Saccharomyces cerevisiae S288C: one gene and its partners. The gene in region 2 interacts genetically with the main gene of each other region. Each region holds a gene or a part of one and is shown on either strand. Other genes may lie near its edges. The genes, in order: DUS3, YSY6, AYR1 and YDR222W.

Region 1 (9,312 bases), on a different chromosome or scaffold from region 2:
AGGTGCTGGGTAATACAAACACGAATCGACGTAAAACGTTATTGTACTTCCTTTCCGCGGCTAATAGCAACTGCAGCGTAGGAATAAATATGCCAAAAGTGTAAATCCAAGCGCCTGATACAAAGTAGATGTTGAATTGTTTTAAAAGACTTACTCAAGTACCAGGAAGGAGCTATGTGAACGGGATGTAATGAACTTTCCAGACACCCCAGTTTGCGAAATGCCTTTTTTCAGAGGCGACTTGCGAGATTCAAATCACTGCGCGTTTTCTAAATCCACCTGTATTTACCTGCTATTTGAGCCACTCAGGTACAGTTGCATCAGGTTGATAGTTATGTTCATTTGTGTTGCGATGATAACCTGTCCGAACTCGTTAAGATTTTCTCAATACACTTTTCTCCGCTCCTACCTAACCCTTCCCAGCTGTGCTTATTTTGATTTTCTTGGAACCCATACCTCACGTTTGAAATTGACACCCGTACATATTCCAATTCTCGTCTTGCAAAGGAAAAATAACCGCGCTTACCCATCAGATATGATTTATGATACATGTACACTTGATTTTCTATTTAGGAATCTCTGTTTGCATAAGAGCTGCTCTTATGTTTGGGGACAAATACAAAGTTCTCGTCGGTTTTACCGAAAAATAGATCACTTAGCTTGATCCAATCATTAACATCCGTACTACCCATTAGAGTTTCAAGTTCGTCTCTTCCACACCAGTTTGGCGGTCTCTCATTCAACTTCACAGGGTATCTTTCACAAATACCCATGGGGACATACCTATGAAAAAAGGACATGAACTCGCAGAAGAATCTACGACATTGAGAAATGCCGTATTCGTCGGTGCCCCAGTGTTCCATAGAGAACTGCGCATAATCCCTTAAAATGTCTAATCTTTCCGTACTTGTCTTGTCTAGATACTGCTGCGACTCAACCTCTTCAAAAATCCATGGTTTGATCAGGGCCCCTCGAGCAACCATAACACTATCAATATTTTCATTTCCGTTCAAATAGCGGTACCAGTCTTCAAAATTGTTGACATCACCATTTCCGACAAATTGAATTCTGTTCTTGGAATCCCTGCCTTCTTTGCCTTGTTCGGTTTCGATGAAATCCGCTTCGGCGGATCTCAAGGTGTCAGCCACTTGACTCACGTAGTCCCAATCCGCAGACTTAGTGTACCTTTGTTGCCTAGACCTACCGTGTAAGGTAATCGCAGCCACATCAGTTTCGTTAACCAGTCTTTTGACTAACCCTTCCGCGATAGGATGACCTTCCTTTGTACCTGTTCTGATCTTCACCGTGATAGGAATATCTTTCGATACGTAGTTCATCGCGTTTAAACAACGAATCATTCTTGCAGGGTTATCCAGCAGGGCGCTACCAGAACCTTGTCTGTATAGCAAATCGATGGGGCAGCCAGAGTTTAAGTTGATTTCACTTATTTCACTGACGGAGTTTGCGAGTGCTTCTGCAGCCTTTGCCGCCTGCCAGGCTTTAGAACAGGCCACTTGAACCCCGAACCCGGGGAACTCTGATGTGTGAGCTTTAGGTAACGCCCACTCAGAATTAGTTCCTTGAATTAAGGGAACTGCCAAGGCCATTTCCGAATATGTCACATCTGCACCTAACTTTCTCATTAGACGACGGTATGGTAAATTGCCTACGGTTGTCAATGGCGACACGATTTTTTTGTGGTACAAATCCAGTGGCTTTTTTTCTTGAGCAAAATAACGAGTGTCCTTGTACTTCAAGTATACTTCACGCTGTTTCATTCTATGTTCTGACAATTCTTTGTTCCTCTGTTCGACTTGGGGGGCAACTGGTTGTTCCACATCTGGGTCTTGTTTCTTCAGCTGTGGCGTTGACTCAACTTCTTCTTCTGGCTTCATGGAATCTCTACATTCTTGTTGGAAAGAGTCGATGATTTCCAATATTTCATTACTTTTTGTGAAAGGAAATCTTCTTTTTATAAGATCGAGTTTTCTTTCCGGTGAGATATGGTTTACCTCACCTTTAACGGACCATATTGTTTGCGCATCTGGATCAATCTCCTTCTTCGATATTAGGATATTATCTTCTTTATTCAGATGAGACGATAAAAATCTGCATTTGAATCCCATGGGGCAAAATCCCAACGAGTTGAAGACCGGACAGGAAGGAAATATATTACTTTCAACTTCAGGCTTTTTTGTTGAAAGGTACAGATTGATATCGTGAACAAACCTACAGTTATCACCAAAGGAGCATTTAGATATATCGCCATGGATCAAGCGTGGGCACAAGACATTCTGTTCCTTGACCTGCCTGTTATCTCTATTCTTGTTTTGCCCACGCTTCTTACCTCTTCCGTTCTTATTTTTCTTATTAGTCCCACCTGCAAACTCGTTTGTCATTCTGTCGGAAGACATCTCTTCATCATAGATGGCGACCTTCTGGTTTTCATTCTGCTTCAATGGTACAATATATTCTGGTTTGATATGTGCAATACCTTTGGACGGGGAAGTGTCTTGTCTCTTCACGGTTGAGTTGTCGTCGCCAACAATAGAGCGTTTTTCAGCGTTTTGCTCCATCAATAATGTTTAGAAGTTGCCTTTTTTTCCTATTCTGAGTTCATTAATGTTTCATTACTGCTCATCTCATCACTACACATTCGAACTAAATTCTTCATAACTTTAACTAGATCTTATGAAACTTTTCAAAAATGGTGCACGGGCTTTCTGTATATTGAACTTTCCGTCGCTTTTCGGAGCTACAATTCCCCTACCCGGCTTGTCGGCATTAAGTCTCTTCATCCCGTGTACTATTACCCGACAGGTTTCTGCGGCATGTTCTGTGGAACGACGGTACGGGCGGTGACTGGGTGCCAAACAGTGCGGCGTTCCCGTGCGCAAGGTGGTCTGCGGTAGGAAAAAGAAACAAAACGCGCCTACGTCGTGCAAGGGGACAGGATTTTGTCAGTTACATAATAAGGAGCAATTTCGAATCAATTGAAATTTGGAACAAATGGGCGATGCATTCGTTAAAAGGCGATTTTGTATCAAATAACGTCACTATCAGCCATTGTCACTTGCCACTGTCGCCTGCCACCGCTATTGCCATTATCATTTGCTTTCGCATCGTCACCGATTTAAAGCTCTCTAGGCTAACGTACGCATTTTACCTCCCAGGCCCTATCTCTTTTCTACCTGTCATCCCTATATAACGTCTTGTACATTCTAGTGGCTCCGTTAACAAGGTTTGACAAATATTACAATCAAAGAAGGATAGCGCTAGTCAATCTAATCATTAAGTTCGCTTATAAAGAGAAGGAAAGCTAGATTTTTTTTCTACTTCAATTACATATCGGTGCTTCTCTCTGGTGGTTTTCTGTTTTTCTAATATTGATCGATTTTACGGTGAGTTAAACTACTTCCTTTTATCGCAATATCATATTTAGAGCGAGAAAGCAAGAAGAATAAAGCTAGGAGAAAAAAGCGCCACGATACATTCATACTAAGTTTATAATATACCGGTCGTCTTTTGGCTTTCTGATACCATATTATATCCTCGAAACACTTTCTCTGGATTCACCTACTATTAATCACCTCAAGATTTCACTTGTAAGGCGTTTTCAAATTTATTGTTATTAAAAGACATATTCATATTCAGTATTTTTATTTTTCTTCGAAACAGGAAAAGCTTATCTGAGTATGGATTTTACAACAATGACTATGGCAAGCAATATGGCTACTAGTACTACTACGACGGCTACATCGGCACATGCATCTATAAATTCGTCATCAAACTTTAATATTGATATTGATTCGAACCAGAATACTCCTTCCATTTTGATAAATAACAATTCGGATTCTTCTAATGGAAAAAACACAGATTTTAACGGCGTCAATAATATTCACCAAAAAAATATCATGAATAATACAAATAATGTTCATTTGTACTCTCCAAATATAATGGACCAAACGCTACTAACTCCACAGGACATTGCCAAGTTACGGAGAGAATCAATAGCCCATTCTCAAGGGATGGGTGGTGTTTCATGGGGATCCATTAGTGTTGGTTCTTGGTTAAGAGATGAAATTATTAGCCGTAGAAATAGTATTGTACCTGCATCAGCAAACGGTGCTGCCTCCGCTGCCGCTTCTGCAACCACTACTGCCACTAATACTTTGCAGATTCAACAACCAACTAAGAGACCCTCTGTTAGTAATCCGCCTTACCATAGAGGGTATTCTATTTCTCCTCAGATAGCCTACACTGCTTATCTGCCAAATCTAGAAAAGCAATATTGTAAAGATTATTCATGCTGTGGTCTTTCCTTACCAGGTTTGCATGATTTGCTGAGACATTACGAAGAAGCTCATATATCCACGTCTCCTAACACTACCAATATGTCACAAATACCGATGAACTCTGCTGGTAACACTAGTTCATCAGTTCGTATGACAAATAATACCTCTTCTGCCAACTATAACCTGCAGAATAACATGGCCGCTAATACAAAAAATGCAGGTCATAAGACTAATACTATGCAGGCTCATAGCAGCAATGCAACTAATAACACCTCCATTAATAATATGCATGCCAATCTTCAGAGCAACATGGATTCCAACTCCACAATACGACAATCTCAGCATCCTCACCATCAGCAGAATATAATACAACAACAGTTGCAATCGAATTCTGTAAATCATACATCAGGGGCTGTACCCACACCGAGTGTAATGGGTTCAGCAACTGCGTCGTCCACAACTGCAAATCCAAATGTGATATCTATAACGGGTGCCCCCAACTCGGGCTTATCTATGGCTAATCACTCTCAACAACTACATCTGAATGGTAATCTAGTCGATGCCGTTTCAACGAATGATGTGTTTTTAAGAACGAGCAATTCTCCATCAAGACACGTTCCGCACAATAAACAAATTAACAGTAACAATAATAGTGGTATCAATATCAATAATAATACCTCACACAATTCTAATATTAACATGGGTAGTAAAAACGCCATGGTGAATCGTCCACATACTTTTAATAACTATTCCTTGAACAAAACGTCCAGGAATCCTATTCAACATCAATCAAGAAAAATTGATCCTCATCAAACCGATTTATCACCTCTGGTACTTGTCCAAGATATAGATTTAAGTTTTATGGATGATGATATTTTGGGCCCTAGTAACCACAATTCCATGAACTCTGTCGTAAATCCAACTACAGGTTCTCACAACTACAATACTTTTCATTCTTCCGTACACGCAAAATCTTCTCAAAACATGGTCGAGGATCAAGACATTGATGACATTGATGATGACGATGATGTTGATGATGACGATGACGATGACGATGACGATGACACAGAAAATGGCTCCAGTTCCAATGGAAAATCAGTTCATAACAACAATTACAAGATGCCTCAGCAAGCTTATATAGACGATCCTGCGAGAAGGCTCTATGTAATGGATCATGAGGAACAAAAACCCTTTAAGTGTCCAGTTATTGGTTGTGAAAAGACTTATAAAAACCAAAACGGTTTGAAGTACCATAGGTTGCACGGACATCAGAATCAAAAATTACATGAAAACCCTGACGGTACATTTAGCGTAATAGATCCAGATTCGACAGATTCTTTTGGTGATGGAATGGGCTCTGCAAAGGATAAACCATACCGTTGTGAAGTTTGTGGTAAGAGATATAAGAACTTGAACGGTTTAAAATATCACAGGGGCCACTCCACTCACTAAGATATAATTGTTTCTTTACTGAATTGATTTAGTATGCTATTTAGATACTAATTCTACCGTTACCGACTCATGCATCGAGCGGCCGCTCTTTCTCTTGTTGTTGGGCGCAATTTATGTGATCATCTTTGAACGAAAATGCATGATAAAGCTGTGCTCTTCGACTGTTACCATTAATTTCAAAAAATAAAAAGCATATCTATTATTGAAAAATGAACTTATAATAGAATAACATTTTCTTGTTTTGTCATCATTTCCTCTAAATACTCCGTCATGAAAACGATTTGCGCTCTGTCTGGTCTCTCCTTTTAGTATTATTGTTGTGTGTTTTTTACTATTCATTTTTTACTACTGTGTTTTTACTATATATATTTTGGCTTTACTTACTTCCTTCTGTTCTGATGTATTAAAAACTATTTTTATTCTAAGAAAAGAAACTTTAATTCTTCTTATTCATGCTCTAAATCTTAAATAAAAGGTTCCGTTTTTTATCTGCAATTCTGTGTATTTGTAAGTGAATTACCATGCACGTTGTCGGATCGTTTTTCTAGGCAGAAACTATCTTATTGAACCATTAAAAGATTACTTAAATATTACAATTAATCTTACGAAGCATATTAATTAGACTGGAATTACAGCGCAACTATCACAGGTTAATAATTGGTTGAGAAAATATTATAGTTTTGTTAGTAATGTTGAACTTTTATTTTATACACTTATGAAAGTAAATTAATTCAATATCAATAATAATATACTATAAGTAACTTAAAAAGCAACCTTCCTCCCAAACCTACAATCCAATCACGCTGATAAGTATTATCTAGAAAGTTGACAACACCAAGCCATATGGTCAAGAAACATTTATTGAGAGTTATTTTGTAAATAAGACTTTTCGTCATCCATATAAAGCAACCTAATTGTTCATCTAATACTAGAGTCGCTCTTTTGAAAGTTAAGTATAACTACCTCATCATTAGTTGCTACTATGTGTATAATTTGAAAATCTCAACGTAAGGTTATTAAAAATATAAATGCGCGTAAGACAGAAAAATAGAGACAGCTTACGGCAAATTATCAAAATGTGAATCCAAGGTTTCAAGAAAATAAGATAAAGTGAATAGGAAGGATGAAAATCAATGTATCCCGTCCATTACAGTTTTTACAATGGAGTTCATATATTGTTGTTGCATTTCTGATACAATTGCTAATCATTCTTCCTTTATCGATCTTAATATATCACGATTTTTACCTAAGACTATTACCTGCCGATTCCTCTAACGTAGTCCCCCTTAATACGTTCAACATTTTAAATGGCGTACAATTTGGTACAAAATTCTTCCAATCTATTAAAAGCATTCCGGTAGGTACAGATCTGCCGCAAACAATAGACAATGGCTTATCACAGTTAATCCCCATGCGTGACAACATGGAATACAAGCTCGATCTAAACCTACAGCTTTATTGCCAGAGCAAAACTGACCATTTAAATTTAGACAATTTGTTAATTGATGTTTACAGAGGTCCAGGCCCGCTATTGGGTGCTCCTGGAGGAAGTAACAGCAAAGATGAAAAAATCTTTCACACTTCTAGACCTATTGTCTGCCTCGCACTGACGGATTCCATGTCGCCTCAGGAGATCGAACAACTAGGCCCATCACGTCTAGACGTTTACGATGAAGAATGGCTAAATACAATAAGAATAGAGGACAAAATATCGTTAGAGTCTTCATATGAAACAATCTCGGTGTTCTTGAAAACGGAGATTGCCCAAAGAAATCTAATAATACATCCAGAAAGTGGGATTAAGTTTAGGATGAATTTTGAGCAGGGATTAAGAAACTTGATGCTTCGAAAAAGATTTTTATCTTATATTATTGGCATTTCAATTTTCCATTGCATAATATGTGTACTTTTTTTTATCACAGGTTGCACTGCATTCATTTTTGTTAGAAAGGGTCAGGAAAAATCCAAGAAACATAGCTGATAGAATTGTACTTCTCGCTATATAATTTTAAAACCTAGCTGTTATTTTCTAAGTAAGTAGGCTCTTCCAGCATTCTGCTTCTTCGCCCTGAATAAAAAAAAGATGATCAGCGAAAAAACTCAAAATGAAAATAAGAGATGGATTCTTCAAAGTTATAATTCATATGCAGAATAAAGATTCTAAAGAAAATGCACACAATGCATATTCCATCCGGTGATGTTCTGATACCGAAGCCGAAGCTTATTACTGAAGAAACAGATCCACTGCATATAATAAAGACGAGGCAAAAGACACATGGTCGGCCCGTGACCATTGCAGGCCCAATGGTTCGGTATTCCAAGTTACCATTCCGTCAGTTGTGCCGAGAATATAACGTTGATATAGTTTACTCCCCCATGATTTTGGCAAGAGAATATGTCCGTAATGAGCATGCAAGAATCTCAGACCTTTCTACAAATAATGAGGACACCCCGCTAATCGTCCAAGTAGGTGTAAATAACGTGGCTGATTTACTAAAATTTGTGGAAATGGTTGCCCCATACTGTGATGGTATTGGTATTAACTGTGGTTGTCCTATAAAGGAACAAATCCGAGAGGGCATAGGTTGCGCTCTGATATACAATTCAGATTTGTTATGCAGTATGGTCCATGCTGTGAAAGATAAGTATGGCGACAAACTAAGAATTGAAACGAAAATAAGAATACATGAGGCATTGGACGAGACGGTGGAGTTATGTAGAAAGCTATGTGATGCTGGGGTAGATTGGATTACGATTCATGGCCGAACACGTAGAACTAGGTCATCGCAGCCGGCTAACCTGGATGCGATAAAATATATCATCGAGAACATCAGCGACAAAAATGTGCCTGTAATAGCGAATGGGGATTGTTTTAAGTTATCCGATTTGGAAAGAATCACCAAATACACTGGTGCACATGGTGTCATGGCTGTGCGTGGGTTGTTAAGCAATCCAGCGTTATTTGCTGGATATACTACCTGCCCTTGGGGCTGCATTGAGAAGTTTTGTTATTGGGCTCTAGAGTTTGGTGGCTTGCCTTTTCAATTGGCTCAGCACCATCTGTACTGTATGCTTGAAAATATGGAGTTGAAGAAATCTCTGTTAAAGAAAATGATGAATCTTAAAAATTACATTAGTCTGATCGACTGGTTTAATAAAACCTTTGAGTTCAAGCGTTACGGCGAGGATGGATTTGGCATGGGCGTTGAAATTCCTTATAAAGCTAATAGCTGTGTGCAGAGGAGCGCCTCAGTGGTTGAGAGACAAGAATGAATAAATTTTGAATTACAAAAATCTAATAAACTGTGGTACTGAAATTGTATATATTTTCCTATCATTCAAGAGCGTATACTCGTACCCCGAAAGCAGCTCTGTTTGTGTAATAATATAACCTAAAAGAAATAAAATGCTTATAAGATGGACATTATTTTTTTTTTTTTACAATTTAAGCATCTTCTTCAACGACAACGGTTTGTAGACCCTTAGCAGAGGCAACCAAAACTGGTTCGACGTAGGAAAACAATGGGTTCTTGGCATCTTCTTCTTCGTTTCTCTTTCTGGAGAT
Region 2 (7,436 bases):
TTTAAAACCTGGCTTATTAGAACAGACAATTGATGCAGCTATCCATGATAAATCATTCATAAAAGATGATTTAGAATTTGTTATTTCGGCTAGAGAATGGAGCTCGGTTGTTTCTTTTGCCAATTTTGATATATACAAAAAGCAATTTCAGAGTGTTCAAAAGTTCTTTGAGCCAATGCTTCCAGAGGCTAATCTCATTGGCAACGAGATGATAAAAACCATTCTGAGTCATTCTAGTGACCGTTCGGCCGCTGAAAAAAGAAATACATAATGTTTTTAATGCTGATTTCCTATAATATTAGGCCTTCTTTTGTGAAAAGGAGTATATTTATATAACTGAATAAAAATATATATTGTGACAAATGCCCATGCAAAAAATCGTGAAAAAAGGAAGAAAGTTCTACTATTCTATGTAAAAATAAACCCATTAGATTTTTTTCCTCTTTGTGTAATGCTCACTACCGCGATTATCGTTCGTTTCATCTGGACATGCCAACGTTCTTGACCTTTTAGAACTTACGACCGGATGAATACTGTCATCATCACATGCAAGTAAGTTTTTGGTCATAAAGTCGATAGCATTGTAGTCATGTGTCCTTTTGTTAACGTTATTATTGTTGAGAGTAGATAACATACTAGACTTTCCTATGCTGCTGTTAGTATAAGGGTTCTTGCTGTTGTCTTGTGCGTGAAAGGTGTGGCTTTGAGCATTGTAAGAGGACATAAATTCATTGACACTGCCACCATTACTATTGCTGATATTATGATTTTTGGAATAGCTCTTTACTATAGAGTAATCACCTGGTTGTAAAGTACCTATCAGTTCCGGAAAATAAGATTTAAAGTCCTTATATATAATCCTATTCCACGCCCTGTTGAATTTTACCGTTGACGGTGAATACTGTAAGTCTTCCGTTGCTTGAATATGAAAAAGCGGTTGCCATATGTGGAAAAGTAAATCCTGTAATCCCAAGTCTTTCAATAAAAGATAGTTTAAGTGTGTCATCGAAACCGTTCTGTTAATTGGAAAGCAACAATTTGGAGACAGACATTTCATGATGATATATGGATCCTGGTCGTTTCCGCCAATATAAAGTAGTAGATATACTTCCAAAGAAGTCCTGGGCTCGTACATTACCACGTGCCAAAGATGTAAGTCTGAATCATGTGGCCTTACATGAAAAAGACCTTGGGTCTTCTCAGGATGGCGCATAAAATATTTCCAATCCTTCAGCAATTTCCTTGTTAAAGAGTAAGCCATAATTATTAGCTTTTTGATTAAAATATAAAAAAATCTGTTTAGCTCTTATATCGCCTCCTCGCACAAAATCACGACAAAGGCAACGTTAGATTGATGCTCTCAAAACATACTAAGAATGTGTTCTATGATATATATGGGAAGAGTAGGTTAAATATTTCTTATGACAATAACAAAACCCACTGCATCGTACAGGACGGGTAACAGAGCCCTTTCCAATTGAAATTTTGAATAAAACTATTTTGCCTATAAAAGTTAGATTTACGACAATTAATATTAGGCAGAATGTTCTCGGAACTTTCAAGTAGTAAAGGATTGCGTGGTTCATTTGTATTTACGAAACGGTGAGTAATAAGGTTTCTAAAACCAAAGGAAAAATAAAGAAAGATCTAAGAAGAAAGTTCCAGTAAAGTGAGTTATAGATCAAGATGGGTAACATTTTTAGTTCAATGTTTGACAAACTATGGGGTTCAAACAAAGAATTGCGTATATTGATTTTGGGTTTGGATGGTGCAGGTAAAACTACCATCTTATATCGTTTACAAATTGGCGAAGTAGTCACTACAAAGCCAACCATTGGTTTCAATGTAGAGACGCTAAGTTATAAAAACTTAAAATTGAACGTCTGGGATCTTGGTGGTCAAACAAGTATCAGGCCCTACTGGAGGTGTTATTATGCAGACACTGCTGCAGTTATTTTCGTTGTTGATTCGACTGATAAAGATCGTATGTCTACAGCCTCTAAGGAACTTCATTTGATGTTACAGGAAGAAGAATTGCAAGATGCAGCACTGCTGGTTTTTGCAAATAAACAAGACCAACCGGGTGCATTAAGTGCCAGTGAAGTCTCCAAAGAACTGAATCTTGTAGAATTGAAGGACAGAAGTTGGTCTATCGTAGCATCCAGTGCAATTAAAGGCGAAGGTATTACCGAAGGTTTAGATTGGTTGATTGATGTTATAAAAGAGGAACAGTTATAGCGATAAAGATTTGCAAAAAAAAAGTGTAGATGCATACTTTTTAAATGGCATTGAATATACATATAATTTGTTTTGTAACTGAATTATCAAGGAGCTCTATCCAAACATAATAGAGTTAGTAAGTGTATACATGTTTCTCTTTGGGTTTTAATTCTAAAGGCAATTACATCGTTCCGATGAATGAGAAGGCCGCATTAAAATACCTAATGACCTCTTAATGAAAGTTGCATATATACATTTAAATTAAATTGTCATTTCAATTCCGATTTATTGAAACAGGACGTCCGAAAGCAGAAACAGATTTATGTGCTTAATAACCCAATAAAGGACTTCAATGTATTCACGAAACAACACCCTTTTAATAACTAGAATAAATAATGTTACAATACCTACACTACTTCATACTTGATTCAAGAATAATTTTTTTTAATTCTTTCCCTAGATCAATAAGTTTCAATTCATTTTTATTTTTCCAAGAACAAACGTGTCTGTAGTCACAAAACTTACAGTATGTGTTGAAGTTTTTTTGAGTAGGCTCAATTGGATGCATATCTCTGCCACCAAACCAAACCATTGCAGAATCATGGGCATGGGTTCCCAGTTTCAAGGGATCATATGGGAAGATGATATTGTGGAAATTATCGTTATGGTAATAATATTCTATCATTAAATCATTCGAAACGAGATTACCCACAATAAAATAGATCTGTGATAACCTTGCCGCAAAGTATTTCAAAGTTAGAGGTGTCTTCCATTTCGTATAAAAATGTCCATAATCTCGCAAAGATACACATTTTGTTGACTCCGAACTATCTTCGTCTTGCTCAATCGGAACGTTAAAAGATGTGGGACCTCTATCCAGCAAATCATTGAACGCGGTCATATCAAATGTATTAGAGCCTTTGGCGTCGTTATCGAAAGCAGAATGATTTATCGGTAGTCCGTACAGGAGGTTCTTCACATCATTAGCGAAGAGTGGGTTTGTTAGTATGAATGTTAAAATCTTGGTAGGATTTATGGGCGCATCAACGTCGAGTCCTCTTCTCTGGGCATTGATTAAAAAGCTATGGTAGGTTTGTGTCATGTCTTGACTAAGGTGGGAAAAAAAAAACTTATAATACATTGTCTGTAATTTAGAGGATTCTATAACGGACTCAATAGATGGTATTTTTGGTACTGACCTAGTTTTGATATCAGAGATAACAATCTCGTTATTCGACTTCAGTTCTTTTAGATTTGATAGTAAATTAGTGAGGATATTACCCCAGCTCTGATATTCCGTATCAAGATGAGCTGCACCTTTCTGTACTTGATGATTGTGCCTATTTCTAAGAGTTAAGTGGTCAATAACACCTGATATAATCACATTTTCCTTTGTCTTGCTATCACTGTTCAGCAAATGCTCCACCAGTTTGCCATCTTCTAAGTTAATGAAGCCATGACAAACTATTTCTCTTGCATGACCGTCACCTTTGGTGAATAAAGAGACCAATCTATTGATAGAGTTGAACCAGTTATCTAGCAGGGCATCCATATCATTATCAATATCCATAGATAATTTTGTCAGTGCAAGGAAATTGTGGGTAAAGCTTTTATACTGATTTAATTCAGGATGCGTTTCGTCCTCTAGTGATTTATGAATCTTTTTACCTTTCTGCACCTGAAATTTTAAGTTCAGTAGTTGGTTAGACAAATTTTGAGAATAAAAGTCGTAAAAATTCCTTAACTCGCACCAATTCTGCGTAGTGCATAATTGTGTGACGGATAATCGTTTTTTCTTTAGCTGATTTACTTGAATGTCAAAATAGGGATTCTCTAAACCTCTGGGGAATCTGTAATTGATAAACGAAGGATTTTCAGGGTCTTCTCCAAATAATTCTTTAACGCTGGCCAATTTTTCGCTCAACAATGCTCCTTCCTTAGTATTTGTCTCTTTTGTCGGACTGGTGTTATCGAAAAATGGCAAATTATTGATTCTATCGATATCCGAGGCATTCAGGATACCGCTTGGATCATTAGTTGGAACATCATACATATGATTTTTCTTCGAAGGTAGTATAAATGTTCCATCAAGGGACTTATCGTTTAAATGTACAAATCTCCTAGGATGAATTAAAAATCCATACTTGTTGATTAGTGCCCGGCCCAGCATACGATAAGTACAGAAGAAAAGCAGAAAGCCTACTTGAAAAATTAAGAAAACAAAGACAGTCTACAAAGCTTTTCTGTGTACTATGCCTGGGTCCCCCCTCATACTCATCTTTGTTGCACGTTTGATTGGCATGGTAAATCACAATAGCACTTGAATTACTTCATCTTTTTTCGCATCCATAAATGACAACGCGGGTAATACTGCCTTATGCTTGTTGTTATTATTATTCGAAATCGCTTATTTATTTACGTACTTGCTTCCACTGTACACTTATATATGCAATTTGCCACTGCTTCATAGGATATAGCTGATTAGTTGCAAAACACCACCACCTACGAGAAGAAACAGAAGAATACCCAACCAAGTTTTGGATATCACAGGTGCGGTTTTCTCAGTTTTGCCCTCCTTCTTCTTACCGTATTTTCTATACTTTTCGTTATTCTTGTTAAACTTGGCATTAGCCAGTCTTTGTCTTGGTGTCTGTACGGCCATCGCAGGTGTTGTCCTCTATCTACTTCGACCTCTGCACCCTGCTATTTCTGCATGTAATGCTGTGCTGAAATTATATTTGATATAACGCAAGTAAGCGCAGATGGCGACAAGAAAAAAAGCCACGTCAAGTCATTAGACACGATATCACATACCACGAGATCTGCGCCTCGCTTTTTCTTTTCTTTTCGCGTTGGCGACTTTCCTTTTTCGTTGGCGATTTAGTGCTGGTTTTGTTTATTTTTCCACGCTTTTTCGTCGTACAGCAAACGTGAAAATTCGAAACTTGGGATTTTCATTTAAATATACCACGAATGCAGATGTGATTCATCACAAACGTTCCTGTCTTGGCAATATAGAAAATTTTCTTGCTTAGCCTTGTTTCACTTCCATTATTTTCAGATTTGTTTTAATTTTATTTTCGCATCTCTACTTTTTATATCTCTCGAACTTTGCTAGTTAAACTTCTTATCTCCATTCAATTTTTTTTTATATTATAATTATTTCTTTTCTCGCAAGAAGACTCCAGAATCAAAACTCAAACCAACCTAACTTATCCAACTTCTAGTCACTCCTTCAATAGAACGTCTTTTTCTCACCTTTTCGTTTTTCCATTTACACCCCATAAAATATCTAAAACCTAACGGAATTTGAACGAAAAAAATGTTACAAAAGCTTTCCATGACCGCATTAGTCGGTTTGTTTTCTTCAGTTGTGTCACTCGTGAACGCTGATTGTACTTACTCTGGCGGTAATTACTATTGTGCTCAAACCGATGCCATCATTTACTCTAACGTCGGTTTATCTGCTACCTACCAAGATGTCACCAATATGGATGAATCTTCTTGTGCTTGTACCCAAGCTGATTTCACTGCTTCTGGTAGCTTGGCTCCCTTCAACGAGGAACTATCTGTTCATTTCAGGGGTCCGATCGAGTTACTACAATTTGGTGTTTACTACCCAAATGGTGAATCTAATGCTTTGAAGAAAAGATCAGAGAAACAATCAATCGAGTCCTGTAAGGAAGGTGAAGCTGTTGTCTCCAGACATAAGCATCAGCACAAGAGGGATGTTGCTGTTGAATATGTTCAAGTTACTTCCACTGTTTACGTCGACAGTAATGGTCAAACAGTCACAGCCGATTCCACCAATACCGTTGTCGGTCCTGCTGTTCCTTCTTCTTACACTAAAGACTCTACTGTTTTGTCCAGCAGTGCTCAAGCAGTTGAAACGAGTGAAAGCCAGTCTTCCATCTCTTCCTCTAAAACCACCTCTTCTGCTGCTGCTGCTTCATCATCTTCGTCATCATCTTCTAACACTAACGGTGACTGGTCCAGAGGTTCCTACTTTGTCCCAGGCTCTACTAGCAACTGTACATTCATGAACAACCAAGGGGGGACTGCCGGTTCTGGTGTCTGGTCGAGTTGTTTCGGTAACTCCATCTCTTTTGCTGCTTCAGATGGTGTTTCTGGTGCTGCCTCCGCTCAAGCTCTTGGTGATGTCACCATTAAATCTGGTAATGAATTCATGATTTTCTCCGGTGAAGAATGTTCCGGTAATAACGGCGATTGTGGTTATTACAGAGAAGGCATTCCTGCTTATCATGGGTTTGGTGGGGCTGATAAAATTTTCGTCTTCGAATTTTCTATGCCAAGTGACACCAGCGGTTCTGCCTACAATCAAGATATGCCAGCTATTTGGTTATTAAATGCAAAAATCCCAAGAACCTTGCAATATGGTGATGCATCTTGTTCTTGTTGGAAAACTGGCTGTGGTGAAATGGATTTGTTCGAAATTTTGACCGCTGGTTCTGATAAATTAATCTCACACATCCATGACGGCCAAGATGGTGGTACTCAAGATTACTTCGAGAGACCAACTGATGGTACTTTAAAGGCTGCCGTAATCTTTAATTCAAGTGATAAAACTATTCACATTATCGAAGTCGACGAAAGCTTTGATGCTACTTTAAGCGATGATGTCGTTGACCAATGGTTGAGCAAGTCCGGTTCTTCTGCGGCCTTGCCATAGTCGATCGTTTCTTATTAACCAATAAAATTTTCCTTTTTTTCATTTATGTTTCACTTGCTATTTTTTTCCTTCCCCGTTATTATTTTTGTTTTAGGGTTTCTGTCCACTTTGAACAGATTGTGTTATTTTCCAAGAACAATACATTATTGTAAAAAAAAAAAAAAAAAAAAACTAAACTAAAAAAAAAAAATTCACTCTTAAAGTTTAGAGTTATGTTCTCTATCTATCTTTATCTTTATTATATACTATTAAAAACCAAGCTTCTGGACATTGTACTATTTTATAATCGAATTTTTTTCTCTTTAATTTTTATAGGAATGCATGTTACTTGTAATTCTTAAATACTAAGATTTAATACCTGTTATATATCTATACGCCATTGTTTTTGAGATTTATCCATGCTCACAATATTATAGGGGTAGAACAGTGGCAATTCAATCAGGTTAAGTCGGTAAATTTTGCGTGATTCTTTTCTATATCAAGGAAAACGCTGTCGTAGGGGATATTAGAATCTTTTCTTAATCTC
Region 3 (8,140 bases), on a different chromosome or scaffold from region 2:
ATGAATGGTTCAAGGAACACTCTTCGTAACGTTTTCATCACCACATGTTTTTTTTTTTTACGACTATATCCCTTTCCCCTCTAATACTCTTTCTAGCCTTTTTTTCTACCTCTACATATGTTTATAAAATATATACCACTGTAACAATAAGATCGACAGAGCGAATATAATTCTTTGAGTAACTAATATCCTTTGGCTTATTCTCTGGGCTTATTAGTGCCGCAAAATAATTACCCGGCGGCGATGGACCAGTTAGCTTCGACCGTTTGCGATTCCGGGGCTAAGGAAGGGGCCTCTGCAAATAAGAAAGAGGCATTACACATAAATGATTGGCAAAGGGACTGCGGGAGTCAAGACCTACATGTAAGTCCGATTTACGATAACGGTTTAGATTCATTGGGTGTGTACTATTTATACTTTAACAAACCCGTGTGTTATTTAATAAGATCATATCTTGTTTGTTTTTCGCCCTCAATTTTGTTTCTGTCACATAGTCGCAGCAGCTGAATATAGATAGGAAGAGAGAAGGAAGCGATTCTCGTTCAGCATCATACTTCTTCCTAATTTCCCCAAATTAAAGTTTCGTTTGAAAGAAACAACAAAAGAGAAAGAAAGCAGTTTTTAGAAAATACTAAATTTTACCGTTATGCTAAGGTTCGTGTCTTCGCAAACCTGCCGGTATAGTTCAAGAGGACTATTAAAAACATCTTTACTTAAAAATGCATCTACTGTCAAAATTGTCGGAAGAGGGTTAGCCACCACTGGTACAGATAATTTTCTATCGACATCAAATGCCACCTATATCGATGAAATGTACCAAGCTTGGCAAAAAGACCCATCTTCAGTCCATGTTTCATGGGACGCATATTTCAAGAATATGTCTAACCCAAAGATTCCAGCTACAAAGGCTTTTCAGGCTCCTCCCAGTATCAGTAACTTTCCCCAGGGTACCGAAGCAGCTCCCTTAGGGACCGCAATGACTGGTTCAGTAGATGAGAACGTCTCCATTCATCTAAAAGTGCAATTGCTATGTAGAGCTTACCAAGTTAGAGGTCATTTAAAAGCCCATATAGATCCTTTAGGGATCTCATTTGGTAGTAATAAAAATAACCCTGTTCCTCCGGAATTGACTCTAGACTACTACGGCTTTAGCAAACACGATCTTGATAAAGAAATCAACCTAGGACCTGGTATCCTGCCAAGGTTTGCAAGGGACGGGAAATCTAAAATGTCTCTGAAAGAGATTGTGGATCATCTAGAAAAGTTATATTGTTCCTCTTATGGGGTACAATACACACATATTCCATCTAAGCAAAAGTGTGATTGGTTAAGAGAGAGAATTGAGATTCCTGAACCTTACCAATATACAGTGGACCAAAAGAGACAAATCTTAGATAGATTAACATGGGCCACTTCTTTTGAGTCATTCTTATCTACAAAATTTCCAAATGATAAGAGGTTCGGTTTAGAAGGTTTGGAAAGTGTTGTTCCAGGTATTAAAACTTTGGTTGATCGTTCTGTTGAATTGGGTGTAGAAGATATTGTTTTGGGTATGGCTCACCGTGGTAGATTGAACGTTTTATCCAATGTGGTCCGTAAACCAAATGAATCTATTTTTTCTGAATTTAAGGGTTCGAGCGCTCGCGATGATATTGAAGGATCGGGTGATGTCAAGTACCATTTGGGTATGAACTACCAAAGACCAACTACGTCTGGTAAGTACGTCAATTTATCGCTGGTGGCAAATCCTTCTCATTTAGAATCCCAAGATCCAGTTGTTCTTGGTAGAACTAGAGCTTTATTGCATGCCAAGAACGATTTGAAGGAAAAAACAAAGGCCTTAGGTGTGTTATTACATGGTGATGCTGCTTTTGCTGGGCAGGGTGTTGTTTATGAAACCATGGGTTTCTTGACCCTACCAGAATACTCTACTGGTGGTACTATTCATGTTATTACAAACAACCAGATCGGATTCACTACGGATCCAAGATTTGCAAGGTCCACACCATATCCTTCCGATTTGGCTAAGGCCATTGATGCCCCAATTTTCCATGTTAACGCTAATGACGTGGAAGCTGTGACCTTTATTTTCAATTTAGCCGCAGAATGGAGACATAAGTTCCACACAGATGCCATAATTGATGTCGTTGGTTGGAGAAAACATGGACATAATGAAACCGATCAGCCATCGTTTACTCAACCATTAATGTACAAAAAAATTGCAAAACAAAAATCTGTCATTGACGTCTATACGGAAAAATTGATAAGTGAAGGCACATTTTCTAAAAAAGATATTGATGAGCACAAGAAATGGGTATGGAACTTATTTGAAGATGCTTTCGAAAAGGCAAAGGATTACGTCCCATCTCAAAGAGAATGGTTAACTGCTGCCTGGGAAGGATTCAAATCCCCAAAGGAATTGGCCACTGAGATATTACCACATGAACCAACTAATGTTCCAGAGAGTACTTTGAAAGAACTAGGTAAGGTACTCTCTTCGTGGCCAGAAGGTTTTGAAGTGCACAAAAATCTAAAGAGAATTTTGAAAAATAGAGGAAAATCTATTGAGACAGGTGAAGGCATCGATTGGGCCACCGGTGAAGCATTAGCGTTCGGTACATTGGTTTTGGATGGTCAGAACGTTAGGGTTTCCGGTGAAGATGTAGAAAGAGGTACATTTTCTCAACGTCATGCAGTCTTGCATGACCAACAATCTGAAGCCATTTACACACCGCTAAGCACTCTGAATAATGAAAAGGCAGACTTCACCATTGCAAATTCCTCGTTATCTGAGTACGGTGTAATGGGTTTCGAATATGGTTATTCGCTAACCTCCCCAGATTATCTAGTCATGTGGGAGGCTCAATTCGGTGACTTTGCAAATACAGCACAGGTTATTATTGACCAATTTATTGCCGGTGGTGAACAAAAATGGAAGCAACGCTCTGGTTTAGTTTTGTCTTTACCCCATGGTTATGATGGCCAGGGGCCAGAACATTCGTCTGGTAGATTGGAAAGATTCTTGCAACTAGCCAATGAAGACCCAAGATATTTCCCATCTGAAGAAAAGCTACAGAGACAACATCAGGATTGTAATTTCCAGGTTGTTTATCCAACTACGCCTGCTAATTTATTCCACATTCTAAGGAGACAGCAACATCGTCAATTCCGTAAACCATTGGCGTTATTCTTTTCTAAACAGCTGCTGCGTCACCCATTGGCCAGATCATCTCTTTCCGAATTCACTGAAGGCGGATTCCAATGGATTATCGAAGATATTGAACATGGAAAAAGTATTGGTACGAAAGAGGAAACCAAGAGATTAGTTTTGCTGAGTGGCCAAGTGTACACTGCCCTACATAAAAGACGTGAAAGTTTGGGTGATAAGACCACTGCTTTCTTAAAGATTGAACAGCTGCACCCATTCCCATTTGCTCAGCTACGTGATTCATTAAATTCTTATCCAAACTTGGAAGAAATTGTTTGGTGCCAGGAAGAGCCATTGAACATGGGTTCGTGGGCATACACAGAACCACGCTTACACACAACATTAAAAGAAACGGATAAATATAAGGATTTCAAGGTCAGATACTGTGGTAGAAACCCAAGTGGTGCTGTTGCTGCCGGTAGCAAATCACTACATTTGGCCGAAGAAGATGCCTTTTTGAAAGATGTTTTCCAACAATCCTAAAGATGAATTCAAATATGAAAAACATGAAAATACAGCCATATAAACACGTAATATTTTTACCTTAATGTTTATGGACAGCCTTTTTACTTGAAGAATGATCTAACAAATATTTTTTTTGATACATTCACATTTTTTTTTTGTTCATGATGTTAGCATCTGCTTAGTCTTTTTAAAATTATTTAATTTAACGTTTTATTTATGTGAACCTTTTTTTATTAGTTGTATTTACTATTTATTCAAGAATCATTCTTTACTTTATATTGATATCGTTTTTTTCCCCCTACTTCCTCCTCTGGTGTATTCACAGCTAGGTGCTTCTCTTGTCCTCATCCGGTGGAGAAAAAAAGTGAAAAATAAGTCAATGGAAAGGGGGAAGGGGGTAGGTAAATAGAGTGAATAAGTTTTATTCATCATGCCCAACTTCTATTAATATATACTCAATTCAAATATTGATCAGGATTTCAAAGAGTATGTCGGAGTTACAGTCACAACCTAAAAAGATTGCCGTTGTTACAGGCGCCTCAGGTGGTATTGGATATGAGGTAACGAAGGAATTAGCCAGAAATGGCTATTTGGTTTATGCATGTGCAAGAAGACTAGAACCAATGGCACAATTGGCCATCCAATTTGGTAACGATAGTATCAAACCATATAAGTTGGATATTTCCAAGCCAGAAGAAATTGTAACATTTTCTGGTTTTTTGCGAGCTAATTTACCTGATGGTAAATTAGATTTATTGTACAACAATGCCGGTCAGAGTTGTACATTCCCTGCATTGGATGCAACAGATGCTGCAGTAGAACAATGCTTTAAGGTCAATGTGTTTGGTCATATCAACATGTGCCGTGAATTGTCGGAGTTCCTTATTAAAGCGAAAGGAACCATTGTCTTCACTGGTTCCTTGGCAGGAGTTGTGTCATTCCCCTTTGGTAGCATTTATTCCGCTTCTAAAGCTGCTATCCACCAATATGCTCGTGGGTTACATCTAGAGATGAAGCCCTTCAACGTGAGAGTGATTAACGCTATTACTGGCGGTGTGGCTACTGATATCGCTGATAAAAGGCCCTTGCCTGAAACCTCAATATACAACTTCCCTGAAGGTAGGGAAGCTTTTAATTCAAGAAAAACCATGGCTAAGGACAATAAGCCCATGCCAGCTGATGCGTACGCAAAGCAACTGGTTAAAGATATCTTGAGCACTAGTGACCCTGTAGATGTTTATAGAGGAACGTTCGCCAACATCATGCGTTTTGTCATGATATTTGTTCCTTACTGGCTATTGGAAAAAGGACTTTCCAAAAAATTTAAATTGGACAAAGTTAATAATGCTTTGAAGTCGAAACAGAAGAATAAGGACGATTAGTGTTTCACCATCGTCAATAGCTACCTATATTTATATACAAGATTCCGTATAGTTTGTACACCACGTCAGGACATCAATAGCTAATAATCGTTCTAATGCTAATGTTCAACTGCTCTTTAAGTATTGTTTACGTCTCGTCGTACCAGTATGCCAAATTCCTGTCACTTCACTCATTCTCTTTGCTCTTACCGTTTGAAACGCGCTGGGACGGAATTCGCTCATTTCGCATCGTGCTTTGTTGTTTTTTTTTTTTCAAAATTGCCATTGTTTATTTATAAACTACATGAAATTATTCTGTATTTATCTTCGCATTCCCTCTCTTACTTCAAAAGTGAGAACAGCATATTCAAATATATATATCTACTCAGTTGAATAAGACACTATAGCAAGACCATTTGAACTGAAAGAAACAGTTTCTTTGCTCCCCTCTCGAATTCCAACTATTTACAGTCCTTCCTTTATAAAAATTAACTAGCGAGCAAGAAAACATTTGTTTAGTGCTACCCAACTACTTACATTCCTTTAAAAACCACAATATTTAAGTTAACCTGAGCTTTATTTTTAGTAAGTTATTTACCACAATTTTTCTCATACACCTTTACAATCCGTATTGCCATGAATACCAAGGCTTGCTCAGCTTCTGCAGCAGTTCAACCCTTTCCAATACCGCCAATGCGTCCTCAAAACGTTAGTTTAGTCGTGCTCAACCGCTATTTTTGGTTTTATCTTCGTTTCTTTCTCCTGAACGACATTCGTCACGAAAATTGCGGCGGAAAATTTCCTGATGCGGACACTTTTTCCCGATCCGGACATGCCTTTTTTTGGCGTTTCGCGTCAGTCAATAGAAGTTTCAGATCTACATTAGGAAGAACCAGAAAATAGCCATTAATGCTTTCAGCATAGCACAGCATAGCAGCTGTGTATATCTTAAATAAGATGTAGACTGGTTTGCATTTGGAAAGGTTTTGTGTAAGAAAAGCAATACTTGAGGTAAAACAAGAGAAAAAAAAACACTTTACTAACTAATATCCAATCCTTTATTTTTTTGCAGAAATGAAATTCTCAACTGCCGTTACTACGTTGATTAGTTCTGGTGCCATCGTGTCTGCTTTACCACACGTGGATGTTCACCAAGAAGATGCCCACCAACATAAGAGGGCCGTTGCGTACAAATACGTTTACGAAACTGTTGTTGTCGATTCTGATGGCCACACTGTAACTCCTGCTGCTTCAGAAGTCGCTACTGCTGCTACCTCTGCTATCATTACAACATCTGTGTTGGCTCCAACCTCCTCCGCAGCCGCTGCGGATAGCTCCGCTTCCATTGCTGTTTCATCTGCTGCCTTAGCCAAGAATGAGAAAATCTCTGATGCCGCTGCATCTGCCACTGCCTCAACATCTCAAGGGGCATCCTCCTCCTCCTCCTCCTCCTCGGCAACTTCTACCCTAGAAAGCAGCTCTGTTTCTTCATCTAGTGAAGAAGCTGCTCCAACATCTACTGTCGTGTCAACTTCTTCCGCAACCCAATCTAGTGCTTCTTCTGCCACTAAATCTAGTACTTCTTCCACTTCACCATCTACTTCTACTTCTACTTCCACTTCTTCTACTTCCTCTTCCTCTTCCTCCTCCTCCTCCTCTTCTTCTTCTTCTTCTGGCAGTGGTAGTATCTACGGTGATTTGGCCGACTTTTCAGGCCCAAGTGAGAAATTCCAAGACGGCACTATTCCATGTGACAAATTCCCATCTGGTCAAGGTGTCATTTCTATTGACTGGATTGGCGAGGGTGGATGGTCCGGTGTGGAAAACACCGACACTTCCACTGGCGGTTCATGCAAGGAGGGGTCCTACTGTTCCTACTCCTGCCAACCAGGTATGTCTAAGACCCAATGGCCATCCGATCAACCATCTGACGGTAGATCTGTCGGGGGTTTGTTGTGTAAAAATGGTTATTTGTACCGTTCTAACACTGACGCGGATTACTTATGTGAATGGGGTGTCGAGGCTGCCTATGTTGTTTCTAAACTAAGCAAGGGTGTCGCCATTTGCAGAACCGACTACCCGGGCACTGAAAACATGGTTATCCCAACCTATGTTGAAGGGGGTAGCTCTTTGCCATTGACCGTTGTTGACCAAGATACTTACTTTACTTGGGAAGGCAAAAAGACATCTGCTCAATACTACGTTAATAACGCCGGCGTCTCAGTTGAAGATGGGTGTATCTGGGGTACTTCTGGATCTGGTATTGGTAACTGGGCACCATTAAACTTTGGTGCTGGCTCCACTGGTGGAGTGACATACTTATCATTGATTCCTAACCCAAACAACAGCGACGCATTGAACTACAACGTCAAGATAGTTGCTGCTGATGATTCATCCAATGTCATCGGTGAATGTGTTTACGAAAATGGTGAGTTCTCTGGCGGTGCTGACGGGTGTACCGTCTCTGTTACTTCCGGTAAAGCTCATTTCGTCTTATACAATTAAGCTACGTGACTACTACTTTTCCTTTTTTTTTTCTTTTTTCGAACACATCTCACCCCCTATACCTCACACAATCACTATGGTCCCCTTTTCTTTTTACCGATATTTATACTGTCCACCTTTTTCTTTTCGTTAATGGCCTCAATGTTTCTGTACCATTATCCAAGTGAACTTGTTAGACGACCAAATATAGCCAAGATTCATTACGATTATCTTTAACTAGCAAGTAGTATTCTTGGATAGAGAGATTTTCAAAGACGGAACAATTTTAAATAGATTTACATAAGAAAACACATACTGTCCGATACCCATAAGAAATTTAAGAACTCTTTTCATCTTCAGCTTTCCGGCCTCCTTTTACTGTAGCCTGTTCCTAGACAGCTAAAAATAGTACATATGCAGCTCTGCAATAGTCTCAAAGGGGATATTGTGTAGGTTTACGAAATCATCACATTTCCGAATCAGGACATGAAGGCACAACTTTCCGCACGTAGTGTTTTCAGCCCCCAGCGCCTGTCGGCGCGAAGAGGATCTGCGGAGATGAGCTTTGCCCCGCCATTACCCGTAAAATATTACTGTTTTGGGCAATTGTGGATCAAAAAGG
Region 4 (8,200 bases), on a different chromosome or scaffold from region 2:
AGGATCTCGTGACTTAGTGAAATCCATTGTAATATTATTCCAATCATCGTCCAGTAGTTTGGGCGATGAACTTGAAAATACAGAATTTGTTGAACTTCTAGAATAATTAGAAAATGTCGGAGAAGGGATAAAAGGTGGCTTTTTGACTAAGTCTTCTTCAAATGTTGTATTTTTTTCCAATCCGTGGAGAGAATGTATTTCTCCATTATTCTCCTCTATGTATGTATCATCAGAATCCGCTGAATGGGTCCTAAATGCTTTATCATTGAGTTCGATGAATTGATTCATTCCTTGTAGTATTGCAGTATGAGCGATTTGCTCCCTTGTTATTTCTGTAGGTTCGTTCAAATCCATATTTAAATCTTTCACAGAGCCCTTTTCTTTGCTCTCAACTTCATTTGTTCTATAACTTATTGTCTTTCTAGCCGGATCAATAACGCCTAGTTTATATTTCCGCTGAACATTTCTTAATGATGCGACCAGGGATATGTTGTGACTATTTAAGGTTTTCATTGCCTTTCTATTAAAATTCAAAACATCAAAGACATCAACAAGAACATTTTTTGTCCACCACATATTCCCGTTTGAGCCGATAACAGCATTTCTGTAAACAATGTTCTCATTCGCCAGCATCCTTAGCAAGGTGCAAGTTTTCCCTATGTTTTGTAAATCATTCATATCCAGGTGAGACAATATTCGGAACAATAGGTTTAATGGTAAGTTTGTCAGGGACCTTTCCTCCAGCGGCATCTGTACACTACAAGAAAATAATGTCATCTATGTGGTTGAAGGAACTATAACTAATTCTGGAACAAAAGTGAACTTTCCTTGTGCAGTTTGGCCAATTTGTTTTGATATTTTGTATGAGGATATTTAGCAAGTAGTAACAGAGACTCCTTGGTTATTTGAAAACTTTCCCTTTGTTTAAACTATAGCAAAGTATAACTTTCCTTTTCCTATTTTGTGAAAAAGTAAGTAAATATTGTTATCTCCTCCCAACTGGTTAAATACTGGGTAGGTGCACAAGCGTTTATAGTTTCTAAGAAGACAGCACCAGGAATAATGATAAACAGTTGTTTGGGTCAAAACAAAACGGGTATTGCCAATGCCTTTTAAAATACTTACCCGGCCATAAAATGAATAATAATAGTGTATGAAGACTGTGTTGGAAGATGTTATGGTAGAAGCAGAGGCTTCCGCACTGCATTTAAGAAGCATAAAGGCACTTCTGCTATTTCATTAAGAAGATTCGCTATGGTGAGCATGTTCTCATTATTTCTGCTATTAATTGAGCAATCGCCGCTTGTAGCGTCATTGCAACAAAGTCAACGGCATATAGTGGGTGTTCCCTGGGAAAAGCAGCACTTGTATGACTCGAATGAACCAGATTTGACTAAATGGCACTGTTTGAACCACGAAGATATCGTATTGGATATAAGCCAGATTAATGATGGGGTTTGTGATTGTCCTGATGGTTCAGATGAGCCCGGCAGCGCCGCCTGCGTGGAAGATATATTCAAAAGCGTTGCAGAGGGAGGTGGTAAAGTGAATAAGTATTTTTATTGTGATAACAAGGGGTTTATTCCAAGATATATACGAAAATCGGAAGTCGCAGATGGTATTTGTGACTGCTGTGACTGTTCTGACGAGCTACTTTCTGGATATGAGCTCTTTGATGCTGGATCTAATTGTTCTCAGTTAAAAAACGAATTTGACATTATGGCCTCTAAAGAGTTATCAAGTTACCGGGAAGGTAAAGAGGCCCTAGAAGAACTGGAAAGAAAATACGGTACAAAGGAAGAGGCTATCACCCGTGGTAATTGCTTAGAAGAAGATAAGGAAAAAGCTTCTGCCGAGATAAAAGTACTCTCCAACAGGCTCTCAGAAAATCGAGCCAAATTAGAGCAGTTGAGAGGCGAGTACTTTAACCAATTAAGCCATGATCCCATTTTGTATCAATTTGAACAATTAAACAGTACTCGTTTGGGATCGGACATCCTTACATCGTTCACTATGGTTTCAAGAGTAAGTAAAGGTTACCAGGACATATTCAAGATTTTAAGTGATTTATCAGAGGCCTATACTCCCTCGCTAAATGATAAAGTTGTCAATGATAATATTAAAAAATTCAGAAAAGTTAGAAGACGGGCTGAAAAGGCTAAAATTAATGCAGATAGCAAAATTGATGATGAGCAGGCAGATAATCTTTACTTGTACTTTACAGAAGAAGTACCTCAAATTTTTTTGAAAAGAGAATCTGAGAACACGTTGAGGTACGTCATAGGAAAATCCAATTTTGTTCAAGCGCTAGTGGAGGGTAAAATTAACTATACCAACGATATCTTGGAGTATATCAGAGAATTCCGTTTGATTATGGATGATATTTCTCAGAATTACAATGTTAACTTTCAAGATGCAGGGGTCAAAAGTGCTGTCGATTCGTATAAAAACTACCTAGGTGAATACGGCGAACTGGCTGAATTAGAACCAGCTCACCCGTCAGAGAGCCTTTTGAGATCGTTGAGCGAAGTAACATCATTTGTGAACGAGAATGCACCAAAGGTATTGCCACCAGACGCTGTTGAGTCAGAACAAGATACGAACAGCGATCATATCGGTACTTCTGGAGATTTGCGCAATAAACTCAAAGAGATTCTATCTAAGCTGAATATTTTTTCATCTAGAAAAGATTTGGTCTCATTAGAGAAGAGATTCCGCTCTTGTGAAAGTCAAGTCAGTCTCCTGGAGAATGAATTAAAGCAAAAAATGGACTATAAGAAATTATTAGATGAAACTGAAGATGAAGGAACTAATTCTACTGCAGGAAATCTGACTGAGCTTTTAGAACTAATGGGATCACAATCCTATTGTCTTGACGACATACTGGACAACTATGTGTACACTATATGCTTTCAACGTCCAATGACCGAAGGTGTCATATATCAAGCTGAGGATAAGGTTGACGGTAAAAAAGTTTTGATCGGTCGTTTTAAGACATCAGGTTTTAATGTTGACTTAAACATGGAAAAATACGCAGAACATTTAAAGGCCACATATGATGAGAAGAGTGATTTGATTTCAAACTTAGCAGCTATACAGGACGATGACGGTAACATGCAACATTACGTATTCGGGAACTTAAACGAACTGAATAATGGTCTGGTACTAGAATACGAAAATGGAGACCAGTGCTGGAATGGTCCGCGCAGATCGGCTACTGTATTTGTTCGGTGCAGCGACAAATTCAAGATTCGGAGTGTACATGAAGCGACTAAGTGCAACTACATCTTCGATGTCGTTGGTCCTCTAGGCTGCAACAAGACTTTCGAATACGAGCCCCCTAAGTTCAATTTAAGTGAATGACTGGAAAATGAGTAGTTAGGCTTTTTTAGTAAGTAAACAACTAGGAAGGCCGATGCTGTGCCGTGATACTCTTTTCCGCAACAAAAGCAATATTTCCCTCGGCCAAAACGCGAAAAGACGATAAATAAGTATATCGTTCCAAATACTGATAGTTCTGTACGACCTGTTGGAATAACGCGAAAAGAAGGGTACGGCGTAATCACCCCACACGGCTTGTATTTTTTTCGGAGAACTAAGTCATAGACGTAATGCTAATTTTTCCGTCTAGCCGATGTTTATGCGGCTTTTATTTTTTTTTTTTTTTTTTTCTCATCTTTGTTCTTCCGGTTTCCAAGATGTCTCACAGATTATTACAGTGAATTCCAAAATCATGTTTACTACTGGAATTTGTATGCATATGTTTTGGCAATCTTAAGCCTACGGATTTTAAATGTGATGGATATAACGAACAGTGTTTACTGGAGACTCACTTCTCTGGGCTTGAGTTTACGATGTATAGTCATATAAAAATGAAGAAATTTCTTGAGTGACAATTGCCGCCGTACTTCGTATTGTCTTTTCTTGACAGTGAGGGCGTATAAGATACATCGTACATACATAGAGACTCATTTAGTGATGCTTGAATCGAGCAGTGATAAGATAAAGTTTGCGCCTATTAAAGAGGTAGATTACAAAAAACCGGTAAGTAAGAGTAAGAACTATACTCTTATTAATGACATCCAACCATTGGAGTGGTATTGTCACAATGATAGTGAAACGGGCTACCAACACACCATAAGTAACAAGACAGATGGTGGTAGAGGTTTATTCAGAGTGATGAAAAAATCGATGGAGACCAGAGTCGAGACCCAAACGTTATATTTCACAGATTTGCATACAGGCTTGTGTGGATTTGTTCAATTACTGTATTCTACGGTTATGGGTGGTATCTATAAAGGCTTCCAATTGAATTTCAAGGTTTTTGGCTCAGAAAGTAATAATACTGACTACGACGTTTGGGAAAGTTTTAAATTGGATGACATAGCTGAATTTCAACCATTAAAGTTTGTCTCTAGAAATGTTATTTTTGAATTTTTGAGCAACAAAAATGAAAAATTAGGTTCCATTGGCCAGTTATCTATCAAATGTGATTTACCAACATGTAACAATACAATTCAAAATTTGAAAATCGATTTGTTGGTGGATTTGTTTCAAGGTTTTAAGATGAACCCCAACGGTTGCAATTATTATTTTGACAAACAAATCTCGATGAGTGACGAATTCGTTTCCTCAGACAAAATGATCAGACATGTTTTTGTGCCCAGAGGTAAATGTAATGGTAATATTTCCTACGATAAAAAACTCAATAGTGGGGACTTTCAAAATAAAAATATTTCATTAACTGATGTTCCTGTCGTTTATCTGGACGCTGTTCAAGGTCTTTTGCCGAATAAAGCAGCCAGTAAATGGAATTTCCTATGTTTTCAGAGCGAAAACTACTCTGTTTTAGCAATTGAATTCACTACTCCTCGAGATCATGATAACGTCACCGTAACAGTTTGGTCAATTACTGAAAAAAACAAACTGATATCTATTGGTTCTTCTGTGCAGAGCCCAAAACGTCATGTTAGGTTCCGTGCTACGAGTACAGATAAGGAAAGCGGCTGGGTATATCCAACCTCTATCAAGTTCCCCGGTGGATTTTCAGAACACGACTTGAGGCTGGTTAATCGATACGACGTTCTCGGTGAGTTACCAAGCATGGTCAGGTCGTTAGCTCAGAAAATTGTGAGCATCAAACCTTTCATTTATCAATACTGTCAACCTTCTAAATATAAGCACGAGAAAGGTATTTCTATCGTTGAGAGCACCTTCATTAGTTGAACAAAAGCGTGAACACTTCCACATGAAATTCGTTTTTTGTCCTTTTTTTTCTCTTCTTTTTCTCTCCTGTTTCTTCTACCAACTTTACCTAATAATTAATGTGTAATCGAATTTTTTTACATAATCACTACCTAATAACTAATTTATCATCACTTTTTTTTTTCATTTTGAGGCCACACTTTCCCCCATGGACTATTGCATCATTGCGCCATGCTTCTTACTTGCGTAAGCCATAGAACGGAAATATCATGTTCCCCTTGCCGCATGCATATTGAAAACATCACGGGAACGAGAAGAATGGCATTTTCGAAATAAAAAGAAATCATATTTCAAATGTTGGGGAGAGAAAGCAAAGGGGAATCAATAATCATTAAGGGAAGTCGATGAAAGTTTCCTTTTCCGAACTCTACCTCGCCTTATATAAAACCTTGGTCTAAACGGATAAACCGAGATGTAGTTGAGTTTGTGAATCCAGTTCTTGTCCTTCTTCCTCTTTCAAAAAGTGAAGCAATCAGTTGAGAGTGTAGCTATAGAGGTGTGTACTCTAGAAATCAGACTTTCATAGCAAGCAGACTTTTTTTTTGTTGAATCTTACTAGCGGATTTTTTAGAGTTTTCTTCTTCGGACTAATCTGTCAATGGTTCCAGTAAGATTAATGAGTCAAAAGCCCTCTATAATTGTATCGAGAAATTTCTTAAAAGAAGGAATATAATTATTGCGGTCACTAGAAAGTTATAAGAAGGTTACCATTTAACTGAACAGCAGCGGTATAGTACGGAATAAAAAAGTCTTTTAAAATGTTGCTTAGTGCGCCTGTTAACAGTACCGTGCGGCGCAAGCCACACAGTCCAAATAAAAAAAAGCCAAAAGAGACAGGTACAGCTGCTTCCTTTTCGTCGTCCTCTTCAACTGTCGTCCTTTCATCCAATAATGATGGCAGCTTTGATGCTCTTTGGGACCCCTCTATAAGTAAGGCCTCGGATTTTGAGAGTAGCTATATTAGTGCTAAACGATTAAAACCAGAAAGTAGTAATAGACAGAAAAAAAAAAATTCTTATAAATATTCTAGGGAGGAAAACACCAACGAGGTAGAGGAAAAGACGTCTCTTGGCAGCAGCTCTAAGACAGAAGCAGATAATATATTTAATGACCAGCTCACGTCAGCTGGCAATACTACATATGTCAGTAATAAGCGCGATGTAAACTTCGGGGCGAATTCGGCTGTAGTACTGCTCGGTTTGCCAACAAGTAAAAGTGAATCTCACCGACAATACCACAGTCCTTCGGCTTCAACAACTAATGAAGATGAAGAGGACATTGGTGTTGATATTTTAGTAGACAACCACATCGATAGTTGCGAAACAGTATCGATAAATAATAATAGAGGTATTACACACCAATATCCAGAAACGGAATCAGATGTCGACTTTGATGAGGCCGTGATATTGACACCAATGGATGGTACGGATAAGGGAGTGAAAAATCCAAGACCACTCGAAAAAAAATATAGTAGCAGTTGTTTTGAGGACCGTACGCCCCTTAACTTGGATGATGGTCATTTCAGTGAATGCAATCATTTTTCTACATTAGATGTGTCTAGCTTTTTTCATCTCAACGAGCATGTGCATAAAATCGACGAAGTAGAGCTCGATGGACCTGATCGCACCTTTAGTCTAGACAACGTCGCTATTAATACAAGGAAAAAGGATATTGATTGCCTCTATAATAGTTCAAGAGAAGACTTATCCAACCTCACATGTTCTTCGGAAGGCCCAAGGAATGATAGTTATGATAGTGATTACAACATTGATGAGGTCACTTATAGAGATGATGAATCAACAGATGAAGACGAGAGCTTACCAACCCCAGATCGAAAAAGGAAGAAAATTGGCCATAAAGCTTGCGAAATATTGGATTCTAAAAGAATTGGAATAAAAGTACCAAAGTTATACGTTTGGTCTTTAAGTGATAAACCGTTTAGTGTTATCGATGGGTTGTGCACAAAATCGCTGTACCCATTGAGTGATGACATAAATACTCCTGAAAGTTTGAGCTCATGCTCAAGCTCAGTAAGTTCACGGGAAAATCAAAAAGGAGATGCAACATTTGATAATGATGCTATGATAGCCGACCTTCTAAACATAGGCGGACTCGAAGTAGAGAAGGCATCCAATGGCCATATTGAGCTCATAGGCGAGTGATTATTTGATATTCCAGAAGAATCATTATCGTCTTTTAAAGGAAAATATGATCGTTTGCGAAAAAATAGAAGCACTTTACTACTTGAATTGTCATAGAATAGTAGGAAAACCTACTTAGTCAGCGAAGATCAACTTGGAATATCGTATGATGAGATGGAGAAAAATTTAGGGGCCGAAATGGATGGATCCACTTGAGAGAGGATCAAGGAATACTGAAGTGCAGCTGACGATCCAGTCAGCGACATCTGTCTTTTTTTAATTACTATTGCTGTGTACTTATAGAGTCGGTGGCATTTATTTTATTTTTAGTATTTTTTTATACGTGCGTATTCTATTGTTCATTTTTTTACCAATTTTTTTTTTATTTTTATATTTTGTTTCTTGCGTGGAGTTTTTACAGGAAGTTAATCACAACAGAGGGTTCAATCTCCAAGGCATAAAATAAACAAAAATTGTAATAGTTAGCAACTGCAATACGAATTAAAATTTGAGGAAAAATCTAGTATTGTTCACACGAGCCAATGCTCTGAAGTTTCGAAAGCTAATAAATATCATGTGGAAACTTTTCTGAGTCATTAATAAGCAACACTATTTATTCTTCTTATAATTAGTCTTACAAGTAAACTGCCTTGCCGCATAAGCGCATTCCCTCTATGAGACCATTTGTAATTTCGAGAACACAATTTTACAACCGAGTAAATATCTTATAATCATTAAAATTATTAAACTATTATACAATTTTTTTTACTTTACTTTAATTTTTATATACCCAT

Evidence for each region.
Region 1: mutations in YSY6 (region 2) and DUS3 together harm fitness more than expected from each alone (negative genetic interaction), as found in Saccharomyces cerevisiae (one large-scale study listed by BioGRID).
Region 3: mutations in YSY6 (region 2) and AYR1 together harm fitness more than expected from each alone (negative genetic interaction), as found in Saccharomyces cerevisiae (one large-scale study listed by BioGRID).
Region 4: mutations in YSY6 (region 2) and YDR222W together harm fitness more than expected from each alone (negative genetic interaction), as found in Saccharomyces cerevisiae (one large-scale study listed by BioGRID).

Annotation. Positions count from the first base shown.
Region 1 is NC_001144.5:921,873-931,184, forward strand, and holds DUS3 (tRNA dihydrouridine synthase DUS3), read right to left. Parts: upstream 2,577-9,312; coding exon 570-2,576; downstream 1-569. Other genes in the region: zinc-coordinating transcription factor SFP1, read left to right, coding at 3,696-5,747; SEI1 (seipin), read left to right, coding at 6,871-7,728; DUS4 (tRNA dihydrouridine synthase), read left to right, coding at 7,917-9,020; 60S ribosomal protein eL31 RPL31B, read right to left, coding at 9,193-9,312.
Region 2 is NC_001134.8:562,677-570,112, reverse strand, and holds YSY6 (Ysy6p), read right to left. Parts: upstream 4,883-7,436; coding exon 4,685-4,882; downstream 1-4,684. Other genes in the region: TYR1 (prephenate dehydrogenase (NADP(+))), read left to right, coding at 1-271; UBS1 (Ubs1p), read right to left, coding at 428-1,261; Arf family GTPase ARL1, read left to right, coding at 1,687-2,238; EXO5 (Exo5p), read right to left, coding at 2,633-4,390; TOS1 (Tos1p), read left to right, coding at 5,543-6,910; mannosylinositol phosphorylceramide synthase catalytic subunit CSH1, read right to left, coding at 7,349-7,436. UniProt on the Saccharomyces cerevisiae protein: Interacts with target proteins during their translocation into the lumen of the endoplasmic reticulum. Protects unfolded target proteins against degradation during ER stress. May facilitate glycosylation of target proteins after termination of ER stress.
Region 3 is NC_001141.2:122,043-130,182, forward strand, and holds AYR1 (acylglycerone-phosphate reductase), read left to right. Parts: upstream 1-4,161; coding exon 4,162-5,055; downstream 5,056-8,140. Other genes in the region: RSC chromatin remodeling complex ATPase subunit STH1, read left to right, coding at 1-29; alpha-ketoglutarate dehydrogenase KGD1, read left to right, coding at 647-3,691; putative glucosidase SIM1, read left to right, coding at 6,109-7,539. UniProt on the Saccharomyces cerevisiae protein: Can convert acyl and alkyl dihydroxyacetone-phosphate (DHAP) into glycerolipids and ether lipids, respectively. Required for the biosynthesis of phosphatidic acid via the DHAP pathway, where it reduces 1-acyl DHAP to lysophosphatidic acid (LPA).
Region 4 is NC_001136.10:906,076-914,275, forward strand, and holds YDR222W (uncharacterized protein), read left to right. Parts: upstream 1-3,978; coding exon 3,979-5,226; downstream 5,227-8,200. Other genes in the region: MFB1 (Mfb1p), read right to left, coding at 1-777; GTB1 (Gtb1p), read left to right, coding at 1,255-3,363; CRF1 (Crf1p), read left to right, coding at 6,024-7,427.